Danio rerio: one gene and its partner. The protein of the gene in region 2 interacts with the protein of the main gene of each other region in a pairwise test. Links are inferred from orthologs where the notes say so. Each region holds a gene or a part of one and is shown on either strand. Other genes may lie near its edges. The genes, in order: myo6b and lmtk2.

Region 1 (16,144 bases), on a different chromosome or scaffold from region 2:
AAATATGATAAAATAATAATAATAATAATAATAATAATAATAATATAGGGGCATAAATAAATAAAATAACAAAATATACAAAAATAGGCATATATTGCTTAACAAATAAAATAGAAACATGATAAAATGTACAAATAAAAAAAAAATAATAATAAAGCAAATAAATGAATAAATGGCTTTTACACAAATAAATAAAAACAAAATTTACAAAAAATTGGCTAATAAAACTTTAAAACATAAATGAATAAAAATAATAATAATAATAATAATAGTTATTATTATTATTATTATTATATAGGTTAATAACTAATAAAGTAAATAAATCAATTACTTAAAGTAAAATATACAAAAATAGGCTACTATAATTTAAAATAGAAATATGATAAAATATACAAATAAATATAATAAATCAATATAATAAATAAATAAATAACAGACCAAAAAAATAAATAAAATAAAAACAAAATGCACTTAAATAAAATAATAAAATAACTTAAATAAAATATGAATATGATCAAATATACAAATAACAACAACAACAACAAGCTAAAAAAAAATATTTAATTGAAAAATAAATGTAAAAAAATTAAAATTAAAAAGCAAGCATCCAATAATTTTAAACTCTACAAGCACTTGAAATTTACGATAAACTTGGCAATGCACGTGCGGCTGATCTACCATTTCTTCTACAAGAATAAACTGATCCAAAATACCAACAAAACTGTGAGAAACATATTCTGTGTCTGCATACTGTGACACTCAACAACACTTTCTTCTCCCACATTTTTTGGCTCATTGCACCGCATCAAATAAACACTGTTCTATCTAAAGCTCCGCAAATTTGCAGCGAGATGTTCCCAGAGAGATGAGTAATTGCACAGGCAGTAATTATGTGCGTGGCAGGACAGGCGTTGTCATAGGAGATGTTTCGGGGTCAAAGGGCTACATGAGTTTCCTGTACCACACAAAACTCCCCCTCCTTCCTCTCCTCCTGCTCTCTTTTTAGCCAGAGGATATGGAAAACAGGACGCAACAGGATGCAAAAAGGCCAGTGTGATTGGGACTTCCAAAGCCAACATTTTACTGTGCTTTTGCTGCCTTATAAATATTCAAATGAGCGTTCAAATATGCGAGAACTTGAAAAATTAAGCAAGCCAAATGTTATTAGTTAGTATGCAAGATGCTTCTAGATGGCAACTAAAACTAATGTGGATCAAACACCACAATGCTGATTATGTATAATTTATGAAAGCCATTATATTAATGATTGGTTCAGAAGCATTTGCATAATTGTGTTTCCTCAGCAGGATATTTCTGCATTATATTGCAGTGATGTCATGGTTAGAGAAACAGGGCAGCTGTTTTTTCCTATCAGGATCATGAAATGGGCTCATTTTACACTTCAACCTACAAGCTATGCTAGTATTTTTCACTAAAACTGTACTGTATCAACTAGGGCTGCACAATATACCGTTTCAGCACTGATATCGCAATGTGATCATTCGCAATAGTCACATTGCAGGATATCTGTGAGTGTATACTGATTTTAAAAGCATTCAGATTCAAGATTGTACTGTTTGAGACCCTTACTATGATTAATTTTAATAAATTATGTTTATTTTTATTATATTAAAGGGATCGAAATTGCGATTGTTTTGGTCGCATATGTGCCCAAAATTTTATCTAAAAACGTAGTCCAGCGGACGTTTCTGGAGCACGCGAAATACGTACCGGGAGGTACGTATGGCTGCATTTCATTTTTTTAATCGAACGCTACTAAGCGGTGTGACGCCGTTACCTTTCGCGCTTGCCGGCTGACCGCTTACCTCCGTGTGAAGGGCTTTCCTGCTGCAGTCAGTTTGTCCGGTCAGCTCATCGTGTGCGTCGGCGGACTTTAGATGCAGAGAGGAGGAGTTGACAAAAGGCATCCAGGATCGAGTCCGGGGAAGAGAGGTTCCAGAAACCAGGTAAGACAAAAACAGAATCCAAAAAATAAAGCGAACGAGTTCATAACTGAGGGTGAGAATGCGGTGAAATCCGAAAACGTGGTAAAAAAAAAAAAACAGACGAGGGCTTTTCTTTTTCTAGACGGCTTTTCTAAATTGTTGCTCGGGTTTAAGAAAGTAAATGGGCGAGCGGATCAATAGGTAAAACTGGTTGGGTTCAGGGAAGGAGGAGGGTGGGTCAGCCGATTGGCCGGTTGCGCGGTCAATTATTCGGTCAGTCAGACAGTGGCCTCTGGTCGGTTGACGCGAGAACAGCGCGGGCGCAAACGGCACTCGCGAGAGACGATCAAGATACGAAAAAGCGCGCACAGCGGCCTCTCGCGGATTCGCAAAAACAATAACTGCACAAATACGTACCTCCCGTGACGTATTTCGCGGTCTCCAGAAACATCCGCTGGACTACGTTTTCAGAATGAGCCTGGGTTGGACAAAGCGCGCATAAATGGTTTAAAACAGTTGTCATGTCAACTTGCTGCAGTAAACAAAGCCCACAATGCTTGCTCCACCTTTAAGCTCTTCTGATTGGCCCACTGCTCTAGCACTGAATGCGAACGGATTGGTTAATATCAGCTGCCAATCACTCATTCGATGGCTTTCTTTAGATGACAGGGAGAGCTACAACCGCAAACATGTTAAGGGCTGGAGATGAGAGGATGAAAACAACACTGACAGATTAAGTTTTATAAAACACCTAAAGTTACAAATGATGACACATCTGATTAATGATCATTTGGTGAATGTTAATTCACCGTTTACTCTTTTCAAAGAGTGGATAAAAGACATTCAGTTTAAAGTCCGCTATGAAAATGACTAAAGCATTCACCGTAAAGCCGCTGGGACTGAGTTTGCAGGTAACAGCGTTTGTCAAATCTACACATTTTAGCACAAGAGGTTCTGTTTAATTCTTCATTTAATCAACAGGATGCTGTCAGCTGTATGTAAAATGTAACACCACGTACACAATCGCAAAAGGGCTTGCATTCATTAAGATAAAACTAATATTGCAGCTCATAAAAAAACCGTATTGCTATTAAGATGACGTATGCAAATAATAAGCTATTATGTCAGTCTTATCTGTGCAATATTACACAGCACCCGTGAGAACTGCTAAGTTAACTAAGTTTAATTCATGTCAAGCAGTGCATGCAGGGCTGGTGGGCACATGCAGATGTCGTTTTGTTAGATTGTTTAGTGTTTATTTCAAATGCAGTAAGTCGGTTAATATAACATTAAAACTTGTAGTAACGGTGCTTATAATTGGTGGGTGTGACTAAATTTTGGCTGGTGCTCCTAACTTTTTAAAGTTGGGAGTACCAGTGCTACCAAGAAAAAAGGTTAATTTCGAGCCCTGTTTTACTGTACTTGAATACTGTTAGACAAGGGAAATGATAAAACACTTTATTTCAAGAGTACATTTTTCTTGATTGTATTTATAGATAGTTATGTAATAAAATACAACACATGCAGAAATGCACTGCAAATAGCACAGACCACTTCGAAAATGTATAATGTACTTGATTTTAAATGCATTAGATTTTATGGAGATGCACTCCACTACAGAATCATCCCAATCGATATATATATATATATCTTGGCGGACTTTAAACTCAATGTCTTTTATCCACTCTGAAAAGAGTAAACGGTGGATTAACATTCCACAAATGATCATTAATCAGATGTGACATCATTTGTAACTTTAGGTGTTTTTAATTACACAGCAAATACACTATATATATATATATATATATATATATATATATATATATATAGGATTTTCCAATATCGTCCAACCTAGCAGACTTCATTCTCATTTTCATTCTCATTTTCATCGCAGACTCATTTTGAATGTTACTATTGTTTTGCCATATTATTACTGCATAATATACACCATTTTCAATAGTGAAAAGAACAGAATCTCGTTAAAATATAATTTGAACCCCATTTTATTGTATTTTTACAAACCACGCTGAAAATAATGGAATTTGAATAAATGCATATGAATAAAGCAAATAGTTGATCAAATGTCAACATAAATATAAAAGCTAAGCATCATAAATATTTCTCGGCAAGTGAAAGTTTGTGCAAGTAAATGCATTTTGTGAAGTGAAGGTGTGATTTTCTGAGTGAAAGTGAGATACATTTTTCCTGCTGCATTGAAAAATGCATCAACAAGATCCAGTTTGAATAAGAAAACAATATATACACTAGGGATGCAACCGGGTTCACTATTAACTGCGATTTAATTCGTCACACCGTGTTTCTGCACTGCTGAAACTTAACTGCGCTAGTTTGTCACTGAGACTAATAACCACGCACACTAGATTAACTATGACCGAGGCTAAGGCAAGCTCATGCAAGTTCATTATTTCCACTGGAGGGACGCACACACGACGTACAGCGCTCTTGCTTTATTATTATTAGTTATTATTAATGGCGCCGATAAGAGCGATCATGTAGTAAATGTTAAATCACCAGCCAAGATCAACAGAGTGATTTTAAAGAGTGCTGAAAGAATTGGATTGGATCAGCTGTTTAATGGCCTAAATCTTGATGCGTTGCATTCACCGCAAATTTCTGCTAAATGTAAAACCTAACAATGTACACATTATCGCCCAAAGAAGCTCGCCTTTACTAAGTTTAAACTGAAACTGCGGCTCATGACAACAGTACTGCACTGGTGGTCATCTACAGAATCCTGCTCTACCCCGCTTGTATGAGCCGGCTGACTCACTGTTGTTGTTTTTTTCACACAGAGTGATGAAAATCAGAGCATAACGAGACTAAGCATTTACAATGAACAAACCGAAACCAAAACTTTTAAATAGGAGCAGAAGTGAGACTTTTCTTCCTTTCTTTTGTCCATTCTTTCTGTTTGTAAATTAACCAGCATATAAAACAATAGTGCAAAATAAACTTTTCTTACTGCAATGCTTAATTTTTTTGATGCAAACCATACATTTATTTATCATAAAGTAACAGTAGGACTTTTTATAGCAGATAACTCTCACATTCAAAGCAGCAAGAAAATGAGAAATGTTAATCATTCATTGTTAGTATTAGTGTCATCTTCGTCATCAATAATATTTTAGAATTATTAGACATTCATTTTGAAGTTATTGCGCAAATATCAATAAGTCATCTCAGCATTAGTTAGATAGTTGTTTGTGGTTTTTGTTAGTCCTAATTGATGTTGTTTTCAAATACAATAAATCCCTTAATATACAAGTTGCAGTGGTGTTTATTAATTTTTAGTGGGTGCTCCTACATTTTTTTATTTATTCTTTCTTTTATTTATTTATTGTTCTGTCATTTATTTACAGTGTAAAATTCTTTGTTTAAATGTCAAAAACATTCACTTATTTTTAAGCACAAAGAGAGAAATTTACTATTGTTCGTTTTTTATATTATTTTGTGCTTTATTAATTAGCTACTGAGCAGCAATAAATAACACTGTAAAGCAAAAGGAGTTTTTATCTTATTTTCTAAACTGGTGGGGCTTGAAATTAATAAATGCATAATAATTGTGATAACCGTGAAACCGTGATTATTTCCATGACTATAATCGTACAACCAAAATGTATAATCGTTGCATCCCTAATATACACACACACACACACACACACACATATCTGAATTTTTTTATTTATTTTTTTTTTTGGGGGGGGGGGGGGTGGATATTATACAGTATATAGTTTTTGACACTAATATGACAAGATAACAAAATGAGTTTTTGGCACCTAAAGATGCTCTGTTTACATAAGTCCAAAATTCTACAAATATATTTTAAAGGCTATATCTCTTAAATGATTATTGCAAAATTGCAACAACATATGAAATAGGTAACAATTTAGTTCAAGTACTAATTCTTACTATTAACAACTGGCTTATTGCCTGTATATTAATGAGATATTAACTGTTTGGTAGTACTTAAAATACATATTTTGCATCCCTAACCCTACCAAACACATAAAGCCAACTAAAACCTTACTATTAATAAGCAGCAAAGTAGAAGTTTGTCAAACTACAAGTCAAAATTAATGATTTATTAATAGCAAGAGTTTTACCATAAAATGAAGTGTGGCCAATGAATGAATGAATGAATGAATGAATGAATGAATGAATGAATATATGAATGAATGAATTGCAATGTAAAGTTTTGTTATTATTATTTATTTTTAAAGCTCTCACCAAAATCATTTTAAAAGCTAGCTGCAATAGCCACATTAATGTCATGCATACTGTATGTGTGCATAAATGCAAGTATAAATCGCTTTAAACGACACACATTTCGTAGAATGACCCTTGGGGGATTATAAAGGTGGAACCATTACGACGTTTAACCAGAGCAGTCGCGCATGCGCACAAACGGCAGTTTACAGTCACCTAATTCAGCGTTTAAAGCATCCATCATTCATACGATTGGAACCCAAATAACTAACGTTACCTCTGTCAATGGTTTCCACAACTTCAGAAGAAAGTTACACTCGTTATAACTGCACACATAGGATATCCTGTCGAGTTTCCATGACATACTGCCTGCCTTAACTAATTTTCTGGAAAACTTTGGTCACACACACACGCAGCTTACAAAACACCATAGAAAAAGCTCTCAAAGAAAAAAAACTAAACACAACCAAAAGCAAGATTAAGAATGAATTTAACTATCGCTGATATACATGTATTCCTAGTAGTTTGTTAACCGAACTCGTTGTCATACAACCCTGCGTTTTAAACAAAATTCTGCAAAAATAAATGACATTGCAAACATTGACATAACAAAATTCACTGTAACCATACTGAATGAACACATTCATTAGCAGCATGCTAGCGCGCCACTGTAGAAGCAATTAAACACAACTTACGCCTAACAACACCTTTAGTTGCCACAAAGCGCAGTCAAGCAATAAATAAAGTAAGCGAAGTCACTCACATTGTGTGTAAATCCGGTAAGAGCAGCTTCTTTTGAGGACAGATGAGCGACAGACTGTCCCGGTTAGCGGTGACAGATTCCCTCCTCGATGCTGAATATTCCCTTTTCCAAAGCCGCTGTCGTTCCTCTCTGTGTGTCCGGCTTCAGACTGAAGTCCACTGGAATAACAGCGACCTCAACGGTGACACAGTAGCGCTGACTGACACAGGTGGTGTCTCAATACACAGGGTCATGACTGGCAAAATAGTTTGAGTAAAAGCGGCATGCAGTAGGCGAGTGCAGTGGACTTTACATGTACGCGCTACAATGATATAAGTTACTTGACGGGCTTCACTACAAATACATGACGCACCATTATGCTGCCTAGGTAGGGCGCAAACTAATCTTTTAAGACGTAGCCGATACATTGATTGATCTAAATGACACGAATAACTGGTTGTTTACTATAAAGGTGATATAGAATATGTTTTACGAGGAATATTTTAGTTTTAATGACTAAATATATAGTATGTCATGGTAAATTTTACCAGTTCTTATCGCTCAAATCAAGCTGCTTATTAGTGTTATGTAAAAAAATAGTGTTATCATCACATAAAAACATCAAACATACTAAAACAGGTCGTCTAATATTAAAAGTTATCCCCTCAAGCACATTATTATCGTCTTGTGTACACTTTACAACCTAACGTTAAAGCTAATGTTGTTTTCATTTTGGCTAACCAAAAACCTTAAAAGAACGTTCTGGGAACTAAAAGAAGGTTAAGTTAAAACGTTCTGGTGGCTGGAATCAGTTCTTCAAGTTATAAACTGTATTATTGTACTAAAACAAGTCCCAGTTCGTTAACGTACTAGTAAAGTTTAATTCAGGATGGATAAAACTTGCTAAGGGATGAGGAGAAAGTCACAAGGTGCCTACTGGGTTGCCATAGTTACTAAAAGGCGCGCAACTGATACAAACTGAAGGCTCATTAATATTTTATTTGGCTTGTAATTCAAAACGTATAGAAGTATTCCTAAGTTGAAATCTTAAACCACATTGAAAGCAGACTTTGTGTTTGTAAATCTAATTAGGACACCTGATCTCTCACTACGTGTCGCTATATCAAATTTCTAAGCAAAAAAGTTATAACAAACAGTTTTTTTGTGTGTGTTTAAGACTCTGACAACCACTCTTCATCCCATATACGACTTCATGCTGTTGCTTTGGGGTGTTATACAGGTTAACTATAGCCTCCAGCTTGAGTTACGTATAGTCTCACAGAATATCTTGGGATGGAGACAGAGTAGGCCTAATATTCGACATCAGTTTCCCCAGAAACAGCTAAACAAGAGTTTTAAGTCATCTGGTGAGCCTGAAGAAGCTCCATTAATTAGATTTAATGCCACGCTGACTTCTGCATTTCCCAAGAGCATTGCAGACATAAAAACAAACGTGCATAAAGCATGCAAGGTGTACCAGAGCACATTTGCCAGAAGCAAAAAATATGAAAGAGTTCTTATAGCAAAATGATTATCTTAAAATAATAATTTTTTATGTAGCCTATATTACTAGCTCTAATGGGAGAACATATGAAGTAAGGGGGTTATGCCAGCTGGGACACATTATAAATAAAAACATAAAATAACCAGCATAACTAGAGTATGAATATGCTCTGAGATCAGATCTCGAGACGTAAAAATAAATCAATTTTATTTAAGTTTAAATTTTATAATTTAAATGTTTTTTTTAAATGTCAATTTCTAGACATTGAGATTTATACATCACATGAAAGTTGAATAAATTTGTTACTTTGATGTATGTTTTGTTATGATTTGGCAAGTTTTAGTAAATATCCCTACTGAAAAGAATTGCTTAAACCAGCCTGGTTTTAGCTGCCAGGCAGGTTTTAAAGTGGTTTTGGCCACTGGTTTCCAGCAATTTCCAGACTAGTCTTAGCTGGTCAGGCTGGGAGATGACCAGCTTAAACCAGCTTGACCAGCCTAGCCAGGCTGGGAGCCCAGCCAAAACCAGCTAAGTTCAGCTTAAATCTGGCTGGTCAAGCTGGTTTTACCTAGTCATCTCCCAGCCTGACCAGCTAAGACGAGTCTGGAAATTGCTGGAAACCAGCCTGGAAGTGGCCACAACCCCTCTAAAACCAGACTAGTCAACCAGCTAAAAGCAGCCAACTAGCTTAGGCTGGTTAAAGTTGTTTTTTCAGTAGGGATATCAGAAAAAAATAACTAAACATCAAGGAAAGTTGTCTTTAAATTGAGTCTATAATGCTTGCACTGTAAAAATAAATCAAGCAAAGTGATGAAAACAAATGTTTTGCTACTTTACATTATTGTTAAAATGAGCTAATCCGGTTTCATGTTTTTTTTTGTTTTTTTTTACGTTGTACAAAATGTAACTTAATAGTTGGATGCAAGCTAGACAAGTTCATTTGATTTAACTAAAAAAATAAGGCAGCAAGATTTGTTTTTACAGAGTAGTAATGTACTCTCACCGGCCACTTTATTAGGTACACCTTACTACTGTAGTACCAGGTTGGACACACTTTTGCCTTCAGAACTGCCTTAATCCTTTATGGCATAAACTCATCAAGGTACTCCTCAGATATTTTAGTCCATATTGACATGATAGCATCATAACTGCACATTCATGATGCAAATCTCCCATTCCACCACATCCCAAAGGTGCTCCATTGGATTGAGCTGGTGACTGGAGGTCATTTGAGTACTGTGAACTCATTGTTCAAGTATCAGAAGATGGGTACACTGTGGTCATAAAAGGATGGACATAGTCAGCAACAATACGGAGGAAGGCTGTGACATTGACATGATGCTCAATTGGTACTAATGGGCCAAAAGTGTGCCAAGAAAACATCCCCCACACCATAACACCACCACCAGCCTGAACCGTTGATACAAAGCAGGATGAATCCATACTTTCATGCTGTTGACGCCAAATTCTGACCCTACCATCTGAATGGCAACAGAAATCGAGACTCGTCAGACCAGACGTTTTTCCAATCTTCTATTGTCCAATTTTGGTGAGCCTGTGCTAAATTCCATCTCATTTAGCTGTTCTTAGCTGACAAGAGTGGCACCCTGTGTGGTCTTCTGCTGCTGTAGCCCATCCACCTCAAGGTTCGACGTGTGTCAGCTCAAACCAGTCTGGCCATTCTCCTCTGACCTCTGCCATCAACAAGGCATTCGCACCCACAGAACTGCCGCTCACTGGATATTTTCTCTTTTTCAGGCCATTCTCTATAAACTCTAGAGATGGCTGTGCGTAAAAATCCCAGTAGATCATCAGTTTCTGAAATATTCAGACCAGCCTGTCTGGCACCGACAACCATGTCATGTTCAAAGTCGCTTAAATCACCTTTCTTCCCTATTCCGATGGTCAATTTGAACTGCAGCAGATCGTCTTGACCATGTCTAAACGCCTAAATGCATCGAGTTGCTGCCATGTGATTGGCTGATTAGAAATTTGCGCTAATGAGCAGTTGGACAGGTGTACCTAATAAAGTGGCCAGTGAGTGTACATAACTAACATTATAGTTTTGATATACTTATGGTAGCACAAAATCAATAATAAAGAGCCATACAATAGATTTAATGCCAAAAAATATGCCTGTGCAACAAAAGTAATTAATACTATTAAAAAAACTAGTGACTCTGTGATACTAAGGTATTCATGATGTAAACATAACATTTCACTTTAATTTTATTTGTGTATAACTTTACCAAAAATACTGTTAAAAACTACAGTAAAATCTACAACATTCTACACTTGCAAGTAATTTTGGTATGTTTTATCACGAAATGAAATATATAGATATGTACTATTTGTAGTAAAAAAAAAAAAACACGATCAAGAATATGCCACCCTGACAGCGCTACTAGATTATCCAACATCCACAGACATAACAATCCTGGAATAATCTAAGAAAAGTTTTAAACAAATTCCAGTATTAAAACATTGTTAAATTGAATTAAAATGTAAAAACAAAACAAAAATAGACTCATCGGTAAATGAATTAAAAGGCTATAAGCAACAGCTTTTGTCCAGGTAAATTTGCAAAATAAACTGACTAATGACCTTGAAAATATTGTTTTATCGAAAGCTTTAATAATTGAAGCTACTTATATGCACTATAAACTCTAGAGGGTGCATTTAATAACCAAAAACAACCCAATTATAAATCAGTCACTACACATTTAATATGTTTTATGATTCAACTAATTTGATTGCTACCCATTTAAATAGCCACTACTTAAATGACTCAAATATATACAAACACATTCATATGTATTCAGCTCTTCCTGAACCTCAAACGGTAACCAATCCCTCAAAAACATTTGAGCTTAAATTACACCTCATTCCATATGCTGCTGGCCTGCTGGCAGATGGGTAATTCCACAAAGCACTGAAGTAATAACTGAGTGTGGAGTGCATGATCCACTCAAAGAGTCTCATTAGCTCTAACACTTCTGAATTAAAGGAGATAAAGCGAGTTCCTCATATGGAGAACACAGCAGGGAGCCAATCCCAAAAGAGGGGAAAGAAGGTGAGGCCTTCGCAGGTGGTCTTTTTCAAGGTTTCAAAGTTAATCAAATGATACAAGCTTTCTTTTGAACTTTGAATTTTAATGAACTGTACAGTCTTGCAGATATAGTTCATTTGCTTCAACTTCTCATATTTCACTATATTACGCACATTAACCCTTTAAAGGCTGTAACTACTGCATCTTAGCACACATATTCAGTTTGGCCAGCCAATATAATATAGACTTCACAGATGAATGGGTAATAATATAATAATAAAAGTACACACCGAACATTTCTCATATTGCAGGTCTGTTAAAATGGCATGTTTAAATGTGAAAATAAGAATGTTTAATTATATGGACGAATTTACATATATTTCTAGTACAAAAACCTGAACCTTTGATCAAGTCACATCTAGAAGTGTTAACAAACACAACCTACACATTAAGACAAAATTGTTAGCTCTAATTTCAAATAGTAAAGGCTGTTTATAGGACAGATTTTTTCAACATTTTAAACATAATAGTTTTAATAACTAATTTCTAAAAACACATATATAATATTTTACTTGTTATTTCATAAGATACTCATATTTCAGATTACATTGCAATTCATAGACTTAATTAGGCAAGTCATTGGATAACAGTGAAATGTTCTGTAGCCAATTAAGAGAAATAAATCTTAATATTATTATTTTTATTATTTTTTATTTTTTAAACTGCTTCTAATTCAGCCAAACTAAAAGAAAAAAAATCTAAAAGTGTAATAGAAAATATTGTGAAAATGTTTTTAATTAGGTAAATATCCTTTTGGAAATATTTGAAAAAGAATTAGTTTTGAGGGCTAATACTTTTGTGTTGCCCAAGAACAAGAATCGTTGTTGTTTACTAGAACACTTTTTTGTGTTAATTATGACAGACAGACTGATTTATGAAATAGAAACATGAATTATGGCAAAAAGTCTATTGACAAGTAATTGTGTTTAAAAAAAGTATGAATTCGTAATTTATTTTAACAGAAATTAGTTAAAAATGACGCCTAATAGTGATGAAGTAAAAATGTACGTTAACTATTACAAATATGAAATAAACTAGACCCAATTAAATTATTTGTAAAAATTAACGAAATACTTGTAACCCATATTTATGCAAAAAAATAAAAGAAATAAAAAATAAATAAATAACAATGCCAAAAAGTCACAAAAATTTTTACATGAACATATTAAGTAAAAATTAAAGCAACAAAAGTCTAAATTATAAGACGACAAATGTCCTAAATAAGAGTTTGGGAATCTCAATTACTCCTTAATTTAGAAAAAAATAAATAAATAAATAAAAAGTATAAAATGTGTTTTATAGTAAATTTAAGTATATTTGAACAAATCCTTCTCTAAGAACCTTCAGAATAGAGATATTAATAAAACCCTGAAGCAGAGATTTAAGGCTCAGTGCACCAGAAAAATCTCATTAAAAGTATAGTAATTGAAATCCAAAGACACAAAGAGATAAAGTGCAATAAAAGAACAATTTAAGCGTATATGTTAGATGTTTTCTTTCTACTTCACTGAATATAAAAACACTTAATGAAAAAGTTCAAAATCTCTAAATCGACCGGTGTATAAAATAGCAGTTTTTCCCTGCTGCATCTGGCCTAAAAATGAACAATTCTCACATTCTGTATTTGCTTCCCTTTGTCTAGAATCTCATAACTCTGATGTACAAAGAGATCAGGTGGTGCATTACCGTCCGACAATCCTTGCCCAGGGTGGAACACAGAAATACATCAAGCATTTCATTTTGAGTACTGGGAGGCAGACGGTCATCTGTCTTTATCGTGCAGGACGCCAATCTGATCATCTGCATGAACGGCCGAAAAAAAATATCTGTCCTCCAGCAGAGACAGAAGCGAGTCTGGAGGAACAAATGCATTTCGAATATGCATAAGACACACTTTTGAATTTTATTCATTTTACGCATACTTGAGATCTTAATTTCAACAAATGTCCAAGAAAAAGGTCCATTTCAGCTATTTTGATCATGTTGTACCTGTTCGTATTTGGAAGTCATAAGACTGCCATACATCGTTTTCTTATTTGAGCAGAGTACATTAAAATAACAAAGACTGACAAATGTTATTTTTTTATGCTCAAAAAAAGCATTTAAATGTAGTATTACTTCTAATTGCACATCTTAGAACATTAACGTTTTTTAAGATTTTAGAACAACAGCTGTAGCAACAATCAACACAATCTGATTGTGGTTTGTTTTTTTTGTTTAGAAGACAGGATTTATTTTGCCATATTGCTCCCTGTGACTTCTCCCATTTATACTGTAGGCAGTAGTAATATATATATATATATATATATATATATATATATATATATATATATATATATATATATATATATATATATATATATATATAATTTCTAATATGCCATGACAACTATTCGTTTACATGAATCTTCCTTAATGTTCGCTCTAAAATTAAACTTTACTCAGTATTTACTCACCCTCAAGTAATTCAAGTGTTTCTTTATTTCACTGTTAAACACAAAAGCAGATATTTATAAGAATGTTAGATACGGGTAAGCGTTGACTTTCATAGTAGGAAAAACTAAATTTGTGGAAGGTAATGGTTACTAGGTTTTCACTGGGTTTCTGCAGGTTTCATTATGTAAAATTAAAGACTTTTTAAGAACATTAATAATGAAATTTTATACAGGATTAATTGAGTAGCTTTACTTGGACAAAAGCAAAATTAAGACCTGTTCAAAAGCATTTAAGACCTACAACACAATTCTTCAGTGAATTTCAGTCTTTTCAAAGTCTAAAACTTAAGTTTTTGAAATGCAATACATTTTAAGAGGGGTGTCATGGTGGCTCAGTGGTTAGCACTCACAGCAAGAAGGTCGCTGGTTTCATTGTCATTTCTTTGTGGAGTTTGCATGTTCACCCCGTGTTGGCATGGGTTTCCTCCACATGCTCCGATTTCCCCCACAAGCCCAAAGAGATGCACTATAGGTGAATTGGGTAAGCTAAATTGTTTGTAGTGTATGCGTGTATGTCCTGGTCCTCCAGGTTGGGGGTTGAGCATTATTGTGGGGCTAACAACCCACCTCGGTCCAATGGACCAATGGTCCGAGTTTTACACTGTACTCACCGTTTGGCTGACCAAGGGGACACCAGAACAAAGGTGTTTGAAGAAACCTGCAGAACTTTTTGCACTTCCTTATAGGAGAAGAAATACTGCACTTTTAAATCTAAATGTCAAAAATGTTTAAATGAGTTTTCACCAAAAAAATTGAAATAAAAATAAAATAAATAAAACTCAGATGTGATTTCAGCATCTAGTTATTTTAATACATTCTATTAATAGATATTACTTTTATTGCTTTCAACAACAAATCATCCATTTACAAAGCAAAGAACTCATTTTTCTAAATTCATTTTTATATGAATCATTTAAAGCAGCAAGAAAAATCAGCAAGAGTTTAAATAATAATAATAAATAATAACTGTATAATACGGAGAGTACAGCTGGGATACCAAGGCAGTCAAAGATGACAGTTCATTTTTGGGTGAATCTCTAATATACTGATTTGGTTCTCCAAGAAACATTTCCTAATTTCATTGTGAGAAACAGTTCTGCTGCTTAAAACATTTCTAGGAGATTATTAATCTTTTACAGTAATTAAAGCCACAGTATGCCTTATTTTGTCCCTCTTAGATGACTTAGACAAGAGCTTCTGCATACTTTCAGATGACAAGGCGGAGAATGACATGCAGGTAATGCGAGTTAACCTTCTAGCTTTCAAAAATACAGTAAAGAATAACCCTATTTCTGAATTACAGGTGGTAATAATAAGTTGGAGATGAAAAAAAAAATCTTATTGTTGTCTGTGTAGTTTGAGAATGAGCTCTTTGATTTGCAACCTCTTCCTTTTTACTGTTCTTTGTGAAAACCAGCCTTTCAAGTCCATGTTGTGATGAAAAGCTTGAGGTGGGTCCTGAATAAACAAAAACACACAAACACACACAAAAGCGCACACACAAAACCAAAAGCAACAACAACGTTGAAATATGTAACCATTTACAACAAAACAGACAATAATTAGATTCCCCCATTGTAAAATACCTTCAGGAAGCTCTCCACATACTGCAGCAGGTAGATACCGCAGTCTGTATAGTTATCCTGCTTTGGGACGATGGGACTCCATCCATGCATCTTTTCAAAACTCTGTTGAGAGCCCATTTTCACCCTCCATTCCTCTTGCAAGTACCTTAGATTTAAAGGAATCAAAAATAAAGTGACTAGAATGACAACATTGCCTTGTGTTGAGTTTCATTTGTGTGCGTGAGAATGCATTGTCAACTTCAGTGTTTTTTTTTTTTTTTTTTTAAATGCGCTTTATAAATAAATATTGTATTGTATTAACACTTTTAAAGATTAACAGTTTCATTGATTCTCAGGCAAACTTCACAATGGAATACAGAATACAACTTTGTAAAGAATCAACATTTTACCCTATTAATAAACCCAACCCAAACTAAACCCTAACTACGACGTTAAAGTGTTAACAATGCTACAATGCTAACCACTAGGCTACCGTGCCACCCATCTAGGAAAAGGAGGAGTAGAAGTGGAAGGGGGAATTCTTGAAAATGAAGAT
Region 2 (15,470 bases):
TTTTTCATTACTAAATTAAGTATCCCATTATTTACAAACCAGTTGTATTTAAGAGTAGTTGAGGGTTTTCAGGATCATTCAGAATGAGTTAATAAATGATTAATAAACTATTGAAATCAACATTTATATGTCTTATCAGGCATATATTATTGCTTACTATTTATGTTAATAAATGCTTTATTAAATCAACTTCATCTAGTTTGTGAGCTAATCTATAGTGAGGACTATTCATGCTTTATAAATCCATTATATATGACAAATAAAGGCTCAGTTAAATTCTGAACAGGAAAAATGACATTATTCATTCCTATTCATTTAAAGATACACAAATGAAACTGTACTTCCTAAGAAAAATAAATTAACCGTGTACGCGACGCTCGACAACAATAACTTACGTGTCTAAGGAGGATTATTGTTTACCTGAGAGCTGTTCTCATCTGCAAACGCTGAGATCCGGATTCGCTGCTCGTCTCCTCTTAATAAAGACGCGGCTCTAGTTGCTGGTGATTGTCCTGTCTCTACAGATTTAGTAAGTTAGCGACCAGTGCTCTTTGTTTATTCAGTTTGTTCGTATCGAACTAAGTTAACTATTGCACCGAGTGTAAACATGTTAGCACCACAACCAAACTTTAACCTCGTGTAGGGTTTTTACCGCATTTAGTGACTGGAATAACACACACGGCTTTCTGACGCTACCTGCCAAGAGCATCTAAGTTTCCGGGAAATGATGAGGGTTTTTTTCTCTCATCAAACATTGCATGAAAAATACACGCTTAGAGCAGTTCCTCAAATCAAATATCTTGTTTGTCGCGAGGGACATGACCGAATTCCCTGAATGAAAGAGCCAAACTGCAGTTAAAGTCCACCATTTAATAATTTGGCAAATAATTCGACTACAGATGTCCATGAAGGTTAAACACCATCACTTTCTCCTGTGTGTGTGTATTTTGACTCACGCGTGCCCAAATAGACACTCCCACACCCTCCCACTTTAGTTCCTCCGACACTCCCCCCTAAACAGAGCTGGACACGCCCACTTTTTTGACTTTTTCCAAAGTAGAGGTGTGAAAACACCCTGCTGAAACGAGGAGCTTTCATGGCCCTTTAACATTTATACATAAGAGTTTGTGTGTATAAACTAGGGCTGCATGATTCTGGATAAAATAACAATCAATTTGCTCAGAATGAAGATCACAATTTTCTCATGACAGATGTTAAATAAAGATTAATATGAGTAAGCTAGTCTTACTGTTATTTCTCAAACATGTGGTTAATGGAGACGATGATAACATTAGGCTTATGTTTCTAGAGAGACGGCCAGCTCAGCTCAACAGACGAGCACGTTCCCATGGCTCTGCTAAGCAGAAAAAAGCACCAGGAAACAAGGTTTTCCCTTAAGTCTTAATCTGAGTAAACACATCCACATGCAGGAGAACGTCTTCAGTGCCGTATACACACTCCCTCGCTCACGTCAAACTCTGGCCCCCCGGGGGCCGATAGCATAGAGATCAAAGCAAGCACCAACAAGAGCACCAAATGCGGTTATTTAAGATTAATCCTCGAGAGAAACCGCACGTTTCTCCTTCACAAATACTTCTGAAGTCAACGCTTGCTTTCACACACTGTTGCACAATACACTACCTGACAAAAGTCTTGTCACCTATCCAGGGTTTTAGAAACAAGCAATAATTTGACTTCTAGTTGATCATGTGGTGTCAGAAGTGTCTTATATGAATGGCGAAGGCCTCTAGATTTTGCTTATTTGAGCACAATAAAATCTGATCATGTCTTGATTATTAATGATTTGATTAGGACAATAAGGTCTGACTCTGCTCAGACTAAAGTCTCGTCCCTGAACAGAAATAATGTCCAGTATAGAATATAAAGTCCTGCTGCAGTGGAGACAGAATGAATATTGTGTCTGACTCCATCATGAGCTTGGAGGACTGCATCCATACATCTCTGACATGACTGACATCACTGATTAATAAAGTCATCTGGAATGAAGAACAAAGCCTTCAGCAGGACTCCCAGAGCTCATCAAGACTCTTTGTGTTCATCTTTAACACCCCCTCCTCCATCTTACCCTAGTCATGCTCAATAATGTTCATATCTGTTGACTGGGTTGGCCAATCTTGCAGCTGCTTGACCTTCTCTGCTTTCAGGAGCTTTGATGTGGAGGCTGAAGTATGAGAAGGAGCGCTATCCTGCTGGAGAATTGTCCCTCTGCTGTGGTTTGTAATGTAATGGGCAGCACAGATGTCTTGATACCTCAGGCTGTTGATGTTGCAGATCTCTCGCACGCCCCCATACTGAATGTAACCCCAAACCATGAGTTCTCCTTCACCAAACTTGACTGATTTCTATGAGAATATTGGTCCATGCGGGTTCGAGTAGGTCATCTGTAGTAGGCTTTTGTCAGGTAGTGTATATCACAAAATTATTGTTATCGTGATAAACATAAGCAATAAACATATCACATTGACTCATGACATTTATTCAAAGCATTTGTTGTTTACATAAATTTAACCAATCAGTTGGGGCCTTGCTATATTTAGCCCCACCTCCTTAGAAGTTGCTGTTCTGCTATTGGCTAGAGCGCTGAAGCCAGAGCTGAAAACAAACACTAATAAGTCGTGACGAGAGAGGAAAAAGACAACAGCCAATCAGAGTCAGAATATCTGCGCAGTTTTCACTCATTCAGTGTGCTTAAATGACTAAATATTTGCATCTTAAAACGTTTTTTAGTCTGAATTAAAAATAATTAGACCTAAAATATATATTTGACCTGTTTATTTTATTATTAAAAATGTATTTATTTAAAATAAAAAAAAAACATAGCTAATAAAAAAAGCATTTTATTTTTGGGAAATGTTGCATCGTAAGAAACACCGTTATCGCACTACTCAACAACGTCACATGTTTTTTCAATATCCTGCAGCTTTAAAGTCTATCATTATACCATCACGCTTTTGTTGTGCACAGTGTAAACAGAGGAAACAGAGTGTAAACAGAGGAGATTTACCTTTCCAAACCAGCCGTTCCCGATCTCCTGAATGTAACTGAGAGAGTGTCGTGCCACGTGAGGACCGGAAGAGACGTCTAACATGAAAGAAAAACACAACCGTCAAACACAGAGGACAGCCTTCAGTAAATCTCACATTTTACAATGAGCCACTGCCATTGCCGATGTTATAATATTACAGCTATTGTTCCGTTTTACTGGTGCATTGTTGATCTGTAGGTTAATGGGAGGACTAAAAATAAAAAGTGCACCAATGTTCTTCAATGTCTATTTTTGCAATATTTTCGAATATATAAACGCACTGTTGAGAAGACTTCTTATGGAACATTAGTTAAAATGTAGCATCCCCAGTAAGCATGGGCCGGTATAAGATTCTGGTGGTATTCTGGTCACTGCTCTAAAACATGCTCTTCTTAAAAGTCTGGCTAAAAAACAACAGCTGCTACTGTAGAGATTCCAGTTGTGTTATTTTTTGGTATTTATCTTCAGGAGATCACTGAAGCCTTCTATTATGCTATCATAATGATCTGATGTGGCAATAAGATCGTAACAGTACTGTGCATTTACAAAGTGGCCATATTCATTGATGTAAACACACCAACATTAACATTAGAGCTGCACGATTCTGGCTAAAATGAGAATCGCGATTTTTTTTGCTTAAAATAAAGATCACGATTCTGTATATGTAGAATAAAGGTATGGTAAAAACAAACATATGGCACAACATCGATAATAATATAACATGTAGGTCTACTGGTTTCTATAAACGATTCTTTTCTACTTATAATAATTCTGATGTTGAATTATTATGTTTGAGATATATGCTTGCAATCTGTCATATTAGACAATTTAATTCACTGGTAAAATCAGACATTTGTCATTATCAGATTATATTCAACAATATATAAGCTAGAGTAGTTATACTGACATTGTAAACATTTATTTTCATGCACAACTGTGTGTTCGCTATGAAAGAAAAGACATATCAAATGCTTGTCGTAATCATAACTCTAAAATGCGATACGATCATTTAAATGAAGTGCACACTTTCAGTTTCATTCTGACTGCTAAGTGATGTTCATACTTCACGCGCAGCTCCTAAACGATCACTCTGTGCCACAAACTGAATATTATTAACAACTGTATTAGCTGTTACTCGCAACATATGCAGGTTCTGTTCACTAAAGTAGACGCGCGCGCGCTCTTTCTGTGACAACAGCTTGCGGTCAGCAGCTCACGTCACGTGTGATTTCCTGATCGCGAAAACATCATTATATGAAGACAAAAATGACATTTTTAGGTAAATTATACCTTATAAATACAGTATGAGACTCATTCAACATCATTTGGAGGTGTCAATGTCACTAAACAACGTATGTGAAACAATGAAAAGACTCGTGCAGCCGCGTTTTCTTCTCTCCTGAACTTGAAAACATGATTGGCAGAATCGTAGAAATGCTGGATAAAGATCGTCTAGGGCAGGGGTCTCAAACTCGCGGCCCGCGGGCCATTTGCGGCCCTCAGTGCAATATTTTGTGGCCCGCGCCGACCGCTGTACTCTGACAGAATCAGCGGAGCGGGGAGAGAGAGCGCTCCCCGCTCCGCTGATTCTATCCGTACACAGCGCGCTTGTCACTCAATGCACGTTGTCGCGCGCGTTCTGATCAGCTGTGTTGTCGCGCGCGTACTCAAGAGCGGTGTTATGGCGCGCCTACTGAAGGGCGGGATCGAGGGTGTGTCGCGTCGCGGGGGCACTTTTGATCATTTTGGAAGGGCACTTGAGCCCTATGTGTGCACGTGCCTGCCCTCCATCTTATATATATTATCAGCCTGATCTCACGAGAAAACGTAAGTATTTTACGTTTTGCCAGTTTAGTGGCTAATTCGTACGAATTCGTATGAGTTCAGTCGTACGAAATGGTTACGATTTTTAAAAGGAGGCGTGGCACCTAACCCCACCCCTAACCCCAACCGTCATTGGGGGATGAGCAAATCGTACTAAATTGTACGAATTAGATCGTACGAATTCATACGAATTAGCCACTAAATGAAAAAGTTACGAATTGCCGTGAGATTGTGTTGATATTATAGGTAGATACAGACTGGTACAGACTGATGTGACTGGAGTGGGGTGGGGGTGTTTTATTTATACATATATACGCTTTTTTTAGGTGAGGGAATGGAAGTTTTGAGTGAGTTCCCCCATTTTTTTCCCTAGGACTTCAATAAGTCAAAGTACAGGTCTAGACTTAATGATGATCATCTTCAAGCCATACTGAGGGTCTCAACTGCTTCCGCTCTAAAGCCAAATGTGGTTCAGATTTGTGAGAAGAAGCGCTGTCAAGTCTCTGGCAGCAAGAAGTAGGCAAAAGATGCCATGTTCAGAAGAACTGTTCATAATCTTCACTCAATGTTCTGTTAATGTTCAGGACACTTCATGTTCAGAAGAAATAATTAAAACTGTTAATAATGACATTTGAGGACTTTTTTTTGTGGAATCCCTTATGCGGCCCAGCCTCACCCAGACTTTGCCTCCTGCGGCCCCCAGGTAAATTGAGTTTGAGACCCCTGGTCTAGGGGGTGGAATCGAGATCGCCATCTTTTATCGATTAATTGTGCAGCTCTAATTAACATTATAGCAGACACTGTAAAAAGCCCATTCCCAGCCACTAGACTTTTCTGACAGGGTATTTCAGTGTCATCGAGTGTCAGAATGTTGTGGGACTGCAGTACAGAAGTTATGATCGGGGATTATAGATCGCGAAAGTTTTTATTTTAGCGTTTTTTTTTTTAAAGCATGACGGTAAAACACGAACGCGGTTATGAATGTATTAAAACATGTGTTTGTTTGTTGTAAAAATTGGTAATAATGACAAAAAAAAATACTAATTAGTGGATCTCCTTACTTCCGGGCGCAGCTGGAGCTAGTGTATTCTGGGAAATTTTTCCTACCCCTTGGTTTCGAGTGTGGTGTTGGAAAAATCTTCATTTGAAGGGGTGTATACGCCTTGCCCTTAGCCCTACGCCTTCAAGCTAAAGAGAATTAGGACACCACTACCCCTTCACGGGCACACACAAAACGAGGGGTAAGAGTAAGGGGAAGGGCTAAGGCACAGGTGTCAAACTCAGTTCCAAAAGGGCCGCAGCTCTGCACAGTTTAGTTCCAACCCCAATTAAAAACACCTGATCAAACTAATTGAGTCCTTCAGGCTTGTTTGAAACCTACAGGTAAGTGTGTTGGAGCAGTGCAGGGCTTCGGCCCTCCAGGAATTGAGTTTGACACCCCTGGGCTAAGGGGTAGAATTGAGATTGGGCCTTTATCCCTCATTGAACACAATATATTTGGTTTTAAGACACATTTAAAGTATATTGGAGCAGTAAACATGTCAGGCTGAATAACTAAAGCAAATCATTGACTTCTGCTGTCTTCATTAGTTTCAGAAACACTTTACATCTTGAAAAGGCATCTCTGAAGTCACGTCCAAAGTCACTTAAATCCCCTTTCTTCCCCATTCTGATGCTCAGTTTGAACTGCAGCAGATCGTCTTGACCATGTCTACATGCCTAAATGCATTGAGCGGCTGCCATGTGATGGGCTGATTGGAAATTTGCGTTAGCGATCGGTTGGAAAGGTGTACCTAATAAAGCGGCCGGTGAGTGTATATTTACAGAACCGGTATAACAGTACAACTTAGCAGTTTTAAAACCTTGCCAAACCTTGAAACAGGTTATCATCCCATGCCTAAACCCCAGTCTTTCACAGTGTGCATGTGTTGCTGACCTGTAATGCGGGGCAGCTGGAGGTGTGGGGGTCCGGGCAGGTGCACAGGGGGAACAGCGAGTGTGTAAACCTCAGCGGGCGACTGCATAGACGGGGTGTCCTCCGCCGGCGGCGTGAAATCAACCTCATCTTCAAAGTGGTCTTCAAACTCCTGACAGATCACACACACAAGACATTATTATTGAAATGATCTGCCCTAATCTAAATGAGGCACTAACATGACTAAAGCCTGGTTTATACTTCTGCGTCATGTGACTTGTGTAACCCACGGCTCATGCAACGCTGTGCATTTATACTTCTGCTGCTGTCTCTGTTGGTCTGCATTAACACTTCCGAAACACAAGTGGGCAGCGAGGTGTAAATGTTCCTCTGTGTCGAGTTTCTTCGCTGCTGTTTTGTTTTCCTGAACACTTCCTGGATGTACAAGTGACTCAAACTCGCTCATTTTGAGGCAGGAACCGGCGGACGTGCAACAACTTTAACAAGAGGTAAACACAAAACAAAACTTTCCATTTGGAGCTCCTTCACGGGACTCCACACTTGTAAACAATCGCTTCATCAGGCTCGCACCATTCACGCGGCTCTCGGTCCCGCCCAGACTCGTCAGCGCTCCCAAGCCAACCAATCACAGAGCTTGTGCTACACGTCGTTGTGACATGTAGTTACAATTTTTTAGAGGTGCACATCAGCGCCGCCGCTGGCCACGGCGAAGGGCTATGCGTCAGCGCCGTAGCATACGCCAGCGTTTGACGCAGAAGTATATATCAGCCTTAAGATGTTCATATGAGCTGCTTTCAGAAAGCTCCTTTCATGTTTAACATGTTCAATTCACGTCACCACACTATCCATTGTTTCATGTCATTTCAACGGTTTCGTTTTTCGACTTTCCTTCAGGAACATTTGAGTCATGCCCCCGAGACAAACTCTGAGCTATCGGATGCAGAGCTGGGTAGTAACCAATTACTTCGTTACATTTACTTGAGTAAAATTAATGGGTAACATGTACTTTTTCAGTACAATAAAAAATGTGTTCTTTCACTCAAGTAAATTATTAGAGAAAAATCAGTACTCGTACTTCTCTACACTAGGTGGCGTTCCTCCATTACTGTATATATATGTATATACACATACACACACAAACTTTTTTACTCTTACTCGAGTAACTTTTACAAAAACAGCTGTGTGTGCAAGGATTCTCCTATTGCAATACGCAGTTAAAAGTCCTACATGACTGTAATAGTTTGCATTAGGGTGTTTACATGTCTCTACTGCACTACAATAATGCCACTAAAACAGGAATACTAATACTTAATAATACTAATCTTAATATGATTTGTTTTTACTACATATATGACTTTAGCTGGATTAAGGTCATCAAAATTCTGTTTACATGGTCGACTCTTAACCAGTGTTGTCTTAATGGTACTGAAATAAGAGTATTGTTGTCCATGTAAACGCAGCCATTGACTCACCTTAAAGTTGATCTCTTGCTCTTTGCAGCAGGAAGCACAGTTGAGCAGCAGGACCACGAGGGCCAGCGTCACGGCCAGAGACAGCAGCAGCGGGATGCTCAGAGACACATCCACATATCCGGCAGCCTCTGCTGAACACACACACACACACACACACACACACACACACACACATGATTAGAGCTCAGATGCTGACCGAGAGATGATCTCTCAGAGGGAATCCCTCCTGTGCTGCGCAGCATTATTTGACATGCACACACGTTCGTTCATTCATTGAGTCAGTGCTGAGCTGTGCTTCAGGACATGGATCTGCTTTCTGGAGGAACGGCACAGCAGGACAGCACCGAATGATTATAATGAGAGTAATTACTTTTGACACTTCACACACAGAGATACACTAAATAAATAGCTCCAAACTGAAGGAATGGGTCATTATAGAAAATAAAAATCACTTTGAAAAGATGTAAATGTACAATATTAAATCTTTTTAAGGTGGCGGTTAAGGTGGAACAGTCTTTATAAAAAATAGGGATGCACCAGAATTAAAAATTCCTGGCCAAAACCAAAAATTTTAGATGCTCTTGACCAAAAAACACTTTCTGGTGTGATCAGTAGCGGCCCTTTGGTAACTTGCGGGGTCCTACACACCTTGCAGAGTGCGCATATAGGGCAGATCGATACTGACTCAGGCCTCGTTTACACTAATGCATTTTTGTTTTAAAACGCATACGTTTTGCTACTGTTACGCCATCCGTCCACACTACGCCGGAGTTCTCGAGCGCAGAAAATGGAGCTTTTCAAAAACGCTGGCTTTATTCTGAAACGCTGCTGCTCCAACTCAGTGTGGATGAGGGAAAACGGAGACATCTGAAAACGGAGGCGGGGCTGCTGAGATTCGCTACCTGATTGGGGCTTTTGTGTCATTGCGTATCCTTCCCTTATTCGTCAAGCCCCTATCACATGACTATAACACATGGCTTCAACGCTACCGGAAGACAGTACTGTAAACAACAACATGGACACAGAAATGGGAGCGTTGTTTGCACTATTGTCTGTTTTAGGCGCCATTGTGCAGTTATTCATTTGTTACGTTTAGTAACTCGACCTCGTCGTCTGTCCACAATAATACCTCTCTTGCTTTCTTTGCCATCGCGTTCATTGTTCAACCGGCGTTTGTTGACTAACAATAACCAAATGCCGAGCGAGACGCATGTTTTCTGTTTATACTAGAACGCTCATGCCCAGAGTGCGCGAATGGTCACGTGATATACATTTTTGGTGGCGTAGTGTGGATGCACATATGTTCAGAAATGCTAGGTGAAACGCTAGTATGAACGCAGATCGTTTTTGATCTAAAACGCCATTTTAAAACTAAAACGCACTAGTGTAAACGGAGCATGAAACTACATCATATTATATGCCAAATTCAAACTGCAGGGTTTTTAAAGTTGTTGCATCACAGATGTTTTCACACCGCATGACTTTCTGGGCTAGCGTTCAGTCGCTGCTTTGTTTACCAATGTTTATCCAATGTTTCAATTAATTTCGGGTGTTTCCGTTTTCGTTTTTTAACTTTAACTGCAGTTTTTCAGTTTCACTTTCATTCAGGAACATTTCAGTCATGCCCCCGTGACAAACTCTGAGCTATCGGATGAGAGTATGAAGACTGATAGGAGTGCGCTGTTTTAAAGTTTGATAGCACACGCAGAAAAAATCATTTGAAAAATAGTTGTAAATGTACAATATAAAACCTTTTAAGGTGGAACTGTCTTCATAAAAAAATTGGGACGCAGCAGAATTCAAAATTCTGGTCAAAAACAAAAACTTTTAGATTTTATTGACCAAAAAACACTTTCCAGTGCGATCGGTAGGGGGCCTTTCATAACTTGCAGGCAGTGGTGGAATGAGCAGTGAAAAATCACACTCAAGTAAAAGTACCATTACCTGCTTAAAAACGTAGTGCAAGTGGAGTAAAAGTATCTGTTGTAAACATTAATCAAAGTATAAGTAAAACCTAGCCCAACAAATCACTAATTCTCCATTCATATCTGTCTTTGAGGGACTCTCAGATCTCTCAGTGGCCAACAAACAAACCATTTACAAGAACCTGTGGTCTGGACAGGTCCGACAGCAGTTCAGATATCAAGTGCTGAAAGGCTGGATGTGTTTCAACACCATTAACACTGCTCTCTTCAAAACAACACAAGCCCCGGGGGTCCTGAACAGTAAGACGGAATAATTGGTGGCAGGAGAGGTCAGGAACACAGAGTGCACTGCCGCAGTCACATGTGTGTGTGTGTGTTTGGCATGTTGCTAACCCAGTAGTTTGTCTTGCACAATTATCAGACAAGGATGCGCATGTATGAATAATATGCTAAGAAGGATCTTTCATCGGTGGCAGGAATGATGGCCGATAATAGTAATAAATGTGGCATCAGTAATCCAGCAGGACACCCTCAGAGCCGCATGAAACATGAGAGCGAGCAGAGTTATTCTGAACACTTGCTTATAAAAGCTGCTTTGCAGGAGACAGTCTGCTGTTGTTGTTGATTAGTATTACTGTTTACCCAGTAGAAGACCTAAGTCAGTGTCTCCCAACCCTGTTCCTGGAGGCACACCAACAGTACATATTTTGGTTGTCTCCCTCATCAATTTCTGCCAGGTTTCGGAGTCTCCTCTGATGTGCTGATCAGCTGTTTCAGGTGTTCCATTATAGCTTGCTGAATACGCTGCAATGCATTCTGGGATTTATGAGCTTCGCAAGTTCGCACAAGTCATCTCTCGATGCATCCTTGGCCAAGGGGCCAGAGCAAGTACACATCCGGGAATTTCATCTGTACTTTGTGAACTTTGAATTGGAACAGTACTTTGGCGACGGTTGATGACGTTTCACGAGGACACAAGAACGCAAGTACAGACAAGAACGCATATTGAGAAACAGCCCAGGACTTCTCCTTCTCTTCCCCCGACAACACCACGTGACAAGCTCAAAACATTATGCAATTCTGAGCGTGCCTTTTCTGCCACTGGCCATCAGAATGTTACTCTAAAAGGGTCACAATGTATTTATTTACGTTTTTTTTGGGCACAAATTATATCAAATTATACCAAATGAAATTCGTTCCAAATATATAACTTCTCTGACAAAATAGATAAGGACTAACCACAATGAACAGAGGCTCTATTTTTGCAGTGCGGCAGAAAACTCCTTACGTGTGATCATTTGGATTGAGAGTTTCCATCCAACCACATCCTTTGCCTGTAATGTGCACCTGAACTCAGAGTCAAATGACATTATAACCCAACCTGCGTTTACAACGAGAGCTCAGGGACGTATACGAGGGACCTGTTGCTAGGCAAATTACTCCAACATAGGCGTACCATTACTGTAAAGCGCCAGGAGATTTCATAGAAAAACATCCACCCTGCCAAGCCATGACATTACATGCATTATACTGTCTGTGGGTCGAATATATGCATGTTCAATCACCTCACAGCAAGAAGGTGGCTGGTTCGAGCCTCAGCTGGCTCAGTTGGCATTTCTGTGTGGAGTTTGCATGTTCTCCCTGTGTTGGCGTGGGTTTTTATCCGGTTTCCCCCACAGTCCAAACACATGCGCTATAGGGGAATTGGTGAACAAACCGGGCGCAGTGCATGTGTGTGAATGAGTGTGTATGGGTGTTTGTCAGAGATGGGTGGCAGCCGGAAGGGCATTCACTGTGCTGGAATAGTTGGTGGTTCATTCCGCTGTGGTCCCTGATTAATAAAGGAACCAAGCCAAAAAATAAAATATCATTAATCAAAGCAACACCGCATATTTTTCCAGTATCGTGCAGCCCCAAAGCATCATACTATCTAGCCGACAACTTGATAACATAAGTGTTATCACAATGTCAGATATCATTTTAACAAGTATGACAATTTATTTGCGCTGAGAGTTCCACGAAGTTGCCTCATTTTCACGTTTCTTTAGAGGCTGTTCACAAGTTCATAAATAAACCTAAAACTTTCCAACAGAAAGGAGGTCAGAGGTTTAATAATTAACAAAAAATGGTGGCAGTCCAGGGCAAGAGTGAATCGCATTACATATTTCTCAAGTTACAGAGTAAATCAATAACAAGGTTGCATAATGTGCAATTAAAATGAAAGAAACGAAGGTTAAAGTGTCAATGCACCAGCTTAGAGCAAGCCAGAGCATCACGTCGTGCATTCCTACTCAATGCCATGTCAGCAAAGAAGGTGATAAACATGGCAAAAACAATCCAATAAACATAAGACAACTGACTAATAAACCTAATAATTCAGATCAGATTTGTAAAGTTAATATATGACACGTTATAAACCTGGTAAAACTCTTCATATCTCTTTAAGTGAGTTAACCTCGTAATAAATGACTTCATTAAATGAGGGAAAGTCCAATAAAAGAGGTTTTACAGTAAGAGGAATGTTGAGTTGGGTCTACACGTTTCAAGGGATAGTTCACTCAGAAATGAATAAACGAATAAATAAAAAGCGATTGGACAACATTCACCAATAACTGCTTGACCAGGCTGTGGATTAAAGCTAATAAAATTGGAAATTTTGTTGAATTTCTTACACTGATCAATCGTTTTGCTTCAAAAGACTTCAGTGTGTCATCAGGAGCCATGGCTATTGATTTGGACACTTTATACGTTTTATTTTCAATCGAAAAAAATCGGTCACTATTTGCAGCCATTATAGGAAACACCATAGATTCAGCTCAAAATCTGCTTTAATGTTCTACTGAAAAAAAAAAAACTAAATCGCATACATTTAGCATGACCTGAGAGTAAATTAACAGGAATTTTTCCTTTTTGGGTGAACCATCATTGGTCAGTCTTGAGTGTCCAACACGACTGGTAAGAATCACTTGGCAAATCTGGTCAAAGATTAATTATTTCTAATACAAAATAACCCAATATAAATCTCACTGGCCACTTTATTAGGTACACCTTACAAGTAAAGTGTTGGACTCCCTTTTGCCTTCAGAACTGCCGTAATCCTTCGTGGCGTAGATTCAGCAAGCTACTGGAAATATTCCTCAGAGATTTTGCTCCATATTGTCATGATAGCATCATACAGTTGCTGCAGATTTGTCGGCTGCACATCCATGATGCCAATCTCCCGTTCCACCACATCCCAAAGCTGCTCTATTGGGTTGAGCTCTGGTGACTGTGGAGGCCATTTGAGTGCAGTGAACTCATTGTCATGTTCACCAGTCTGAGATGATTAAGCTTTATGACATGCTGCGTTATCCTGCTGGAAGTAGCCATCAGAAGATGGACACACTGTGCTCATAAAGGGATGGACATGGTCAGCAGCAATACTCAGGTAGGCTGTGGCGTTGATGCTTAATTGGTACTAATGGACCCAAAGAAAATCTGACCCACACCATTACACCACCACCAGCCTGAACCGCTGATACAAGGCAGGATGATCCATGCTTTCATGCTGTTGAGGCCCAATTGTGAGTCGAGCATCCGAATGTGTCAGCAGAAATGGAGACTCATCAGAGCAGCAACGTTTCTCCAATCTTCTATTGTCCAGTTTTGGTGAGTCTGTGTGAATTGTAGCCTCAGTTTCCTGTTCTTAGCTGACAGGAGCGGCACCCGGTGTGCTCTTCTGCTGCTGTAGCCCATCCGCCTCAAGGTTGGACGTGTTGTGTGTTCAGAGATGCTCTTCTGCAGAGCTCGGTTGTAACGAGTGCTTATTTGAGTTACTGTTGCCTTTCTATCAGCTAGTACCAGTTTGGCCATTTTCCTCTGACTTCAACAAGGCATTTGAGCCCACAGAACTGCCGCTCACTGGATATTTTCTCTTATTCAGACCATTCTCTATAAACCCTCTGTAGCTGCTACGTGATTGGCTGATTAGTAATTTGCATTAACGAGCAGTTGGACAGGTGTACCTAATAAAGTGGCCAGTGAGCATACATTTACGTATATGTGACACACACACACACACACACACACACACACACACACACACACACACACACACACACACACACACACAAAAACAAAGCTACACAGAACAATTTTGTTAAATATAGATATTCACATTCATATCATATTTATATATTTACATCTATATATATATATATAATCTCCAAATAAACATTTTCTTAATTATATGCATGCACGTTTGTATTTATATATGCATGATAAATAAATATGCACAGTAAGCAAATATCTTATGTCAAAACAAACTTTTATTGTGGATGCAATTAATTAAGATTAATCTTTGCCCAGGACTACTTAAAAAGCATTTAAATATATGTGTCAGGGTGTATTTCATGCAGTTTATTATTCATCCATGTATTCCGTTTATTATTTAGCATGTGTGCGTAAAACACATCCCTGTTTGAGCTCGGTAGCTGCAGCTGTAAGTGTTTGAGAGATGTGTTGACCATTAGACTGAAGCCGGACTGATGACGAGCAGCGGGCAGCAGCAGCACAATCGCCTGCCCATTTGTTCTTCTTATCTGAGTCATGAATTTATATCATGACTTGGCAAGCGGCACGAATTATTCAACTGCTTCTCAGGCCAATAAACACCGAGCTGTCAGCTCTTATTTCGGCTCTCTTGCATAATGAAGTGATGTTCTTCACACAGCAGTGGAGATGACCCAATTGGACACGGTGTTGTTTTCCCGATTTGGCATTTGTGTGGACAGATTCAGTTGGAGTTTTAAAACGGTCCACTTGAAGACACTACAAGGCCAAAAAAAAAAGCTTTTTTTTCTGTTTTCTCATATACAGCGAGGAATATATGCAGGGCTCGAAATTGCGACCATTTTGGTCGCATATGCGCCCGAAAATTAATCTATGCGACCTAATAATATATTTTGGCGCATTAGTGCGACTGCAGATAATGGTTGTAGTGCGACCTGTTTTGATTTTTTGTAAAAACGTGCTGAATCGCTCTTCCCTGCCGCTATATTGGTTCATATTAGCTGTCAGTCACTCAAGGTATTCCGCTGTCAGATGACAGGGAAGGAGCTTTAATGACCACGGGAAATACAAACGGCTGAAGAATGAAAACTTAAAGCATGCAGGTTTGCAAACCCCACCTAAAGTTGAGGGCGCAGATGAGAGCGATCATGACACGTGATGGATATCTGCCAGCTGAGATCAATCGAGTACGTGCTTTTCGGAGAAAGCGCCCGAAT

What was found.
Region 1: the proteins of lmtk2 (region 2) and myo6b interact in a two-hybrid assay, tested with the Homo sapiens proteins (2 studies listed by BioGRID). The link is inferred for Danio rerio from reciprocal best matches to the Homo sapiens genes LMTK2 and MYO6.

What each region holds. Positions count from the first base shown.
Region 1 is NC_133192.1:38,701,008-38,717,151, forward strand, and holds the start of myo6b (myosin VIb), read right to left. Parts: upstream 7,087-16,144; 5' UTR 6,937-7,086; intron 1-6,936. Other genes in the region: senp6b (sentrin-specific protease 6), read right to left, coding at 15,362-15,481, 15,610-15,754. UniProt on the Homo sapiens protein: Myosins are actin-based motor molecules with ATPase activity. Unconventional myosins serve in intracellular movements. Myosin 6 is a reverse-direction motor protein that moves towards the minus-end of actin filaments.
Region 2 is NC_133178.1:66,141,226-66,156,695, reverse strand, and holds part of lmtk2 (serine/threonine-protein kinase LMTK2), read right to left. Parts: intron 8,410-15,470; coding exon of another isoform or gene 8,407-8,409; coding exon 8,279-8,406; intron 6,958-8,278; coding exon 6,807-6,957; intron 3,103-6,806; coding exon 3,026-3,102; intron 1-3,025. UniProt on the Homo sapiens protein: Phosphorylates PPP1C, phosphorylase b and CFTR.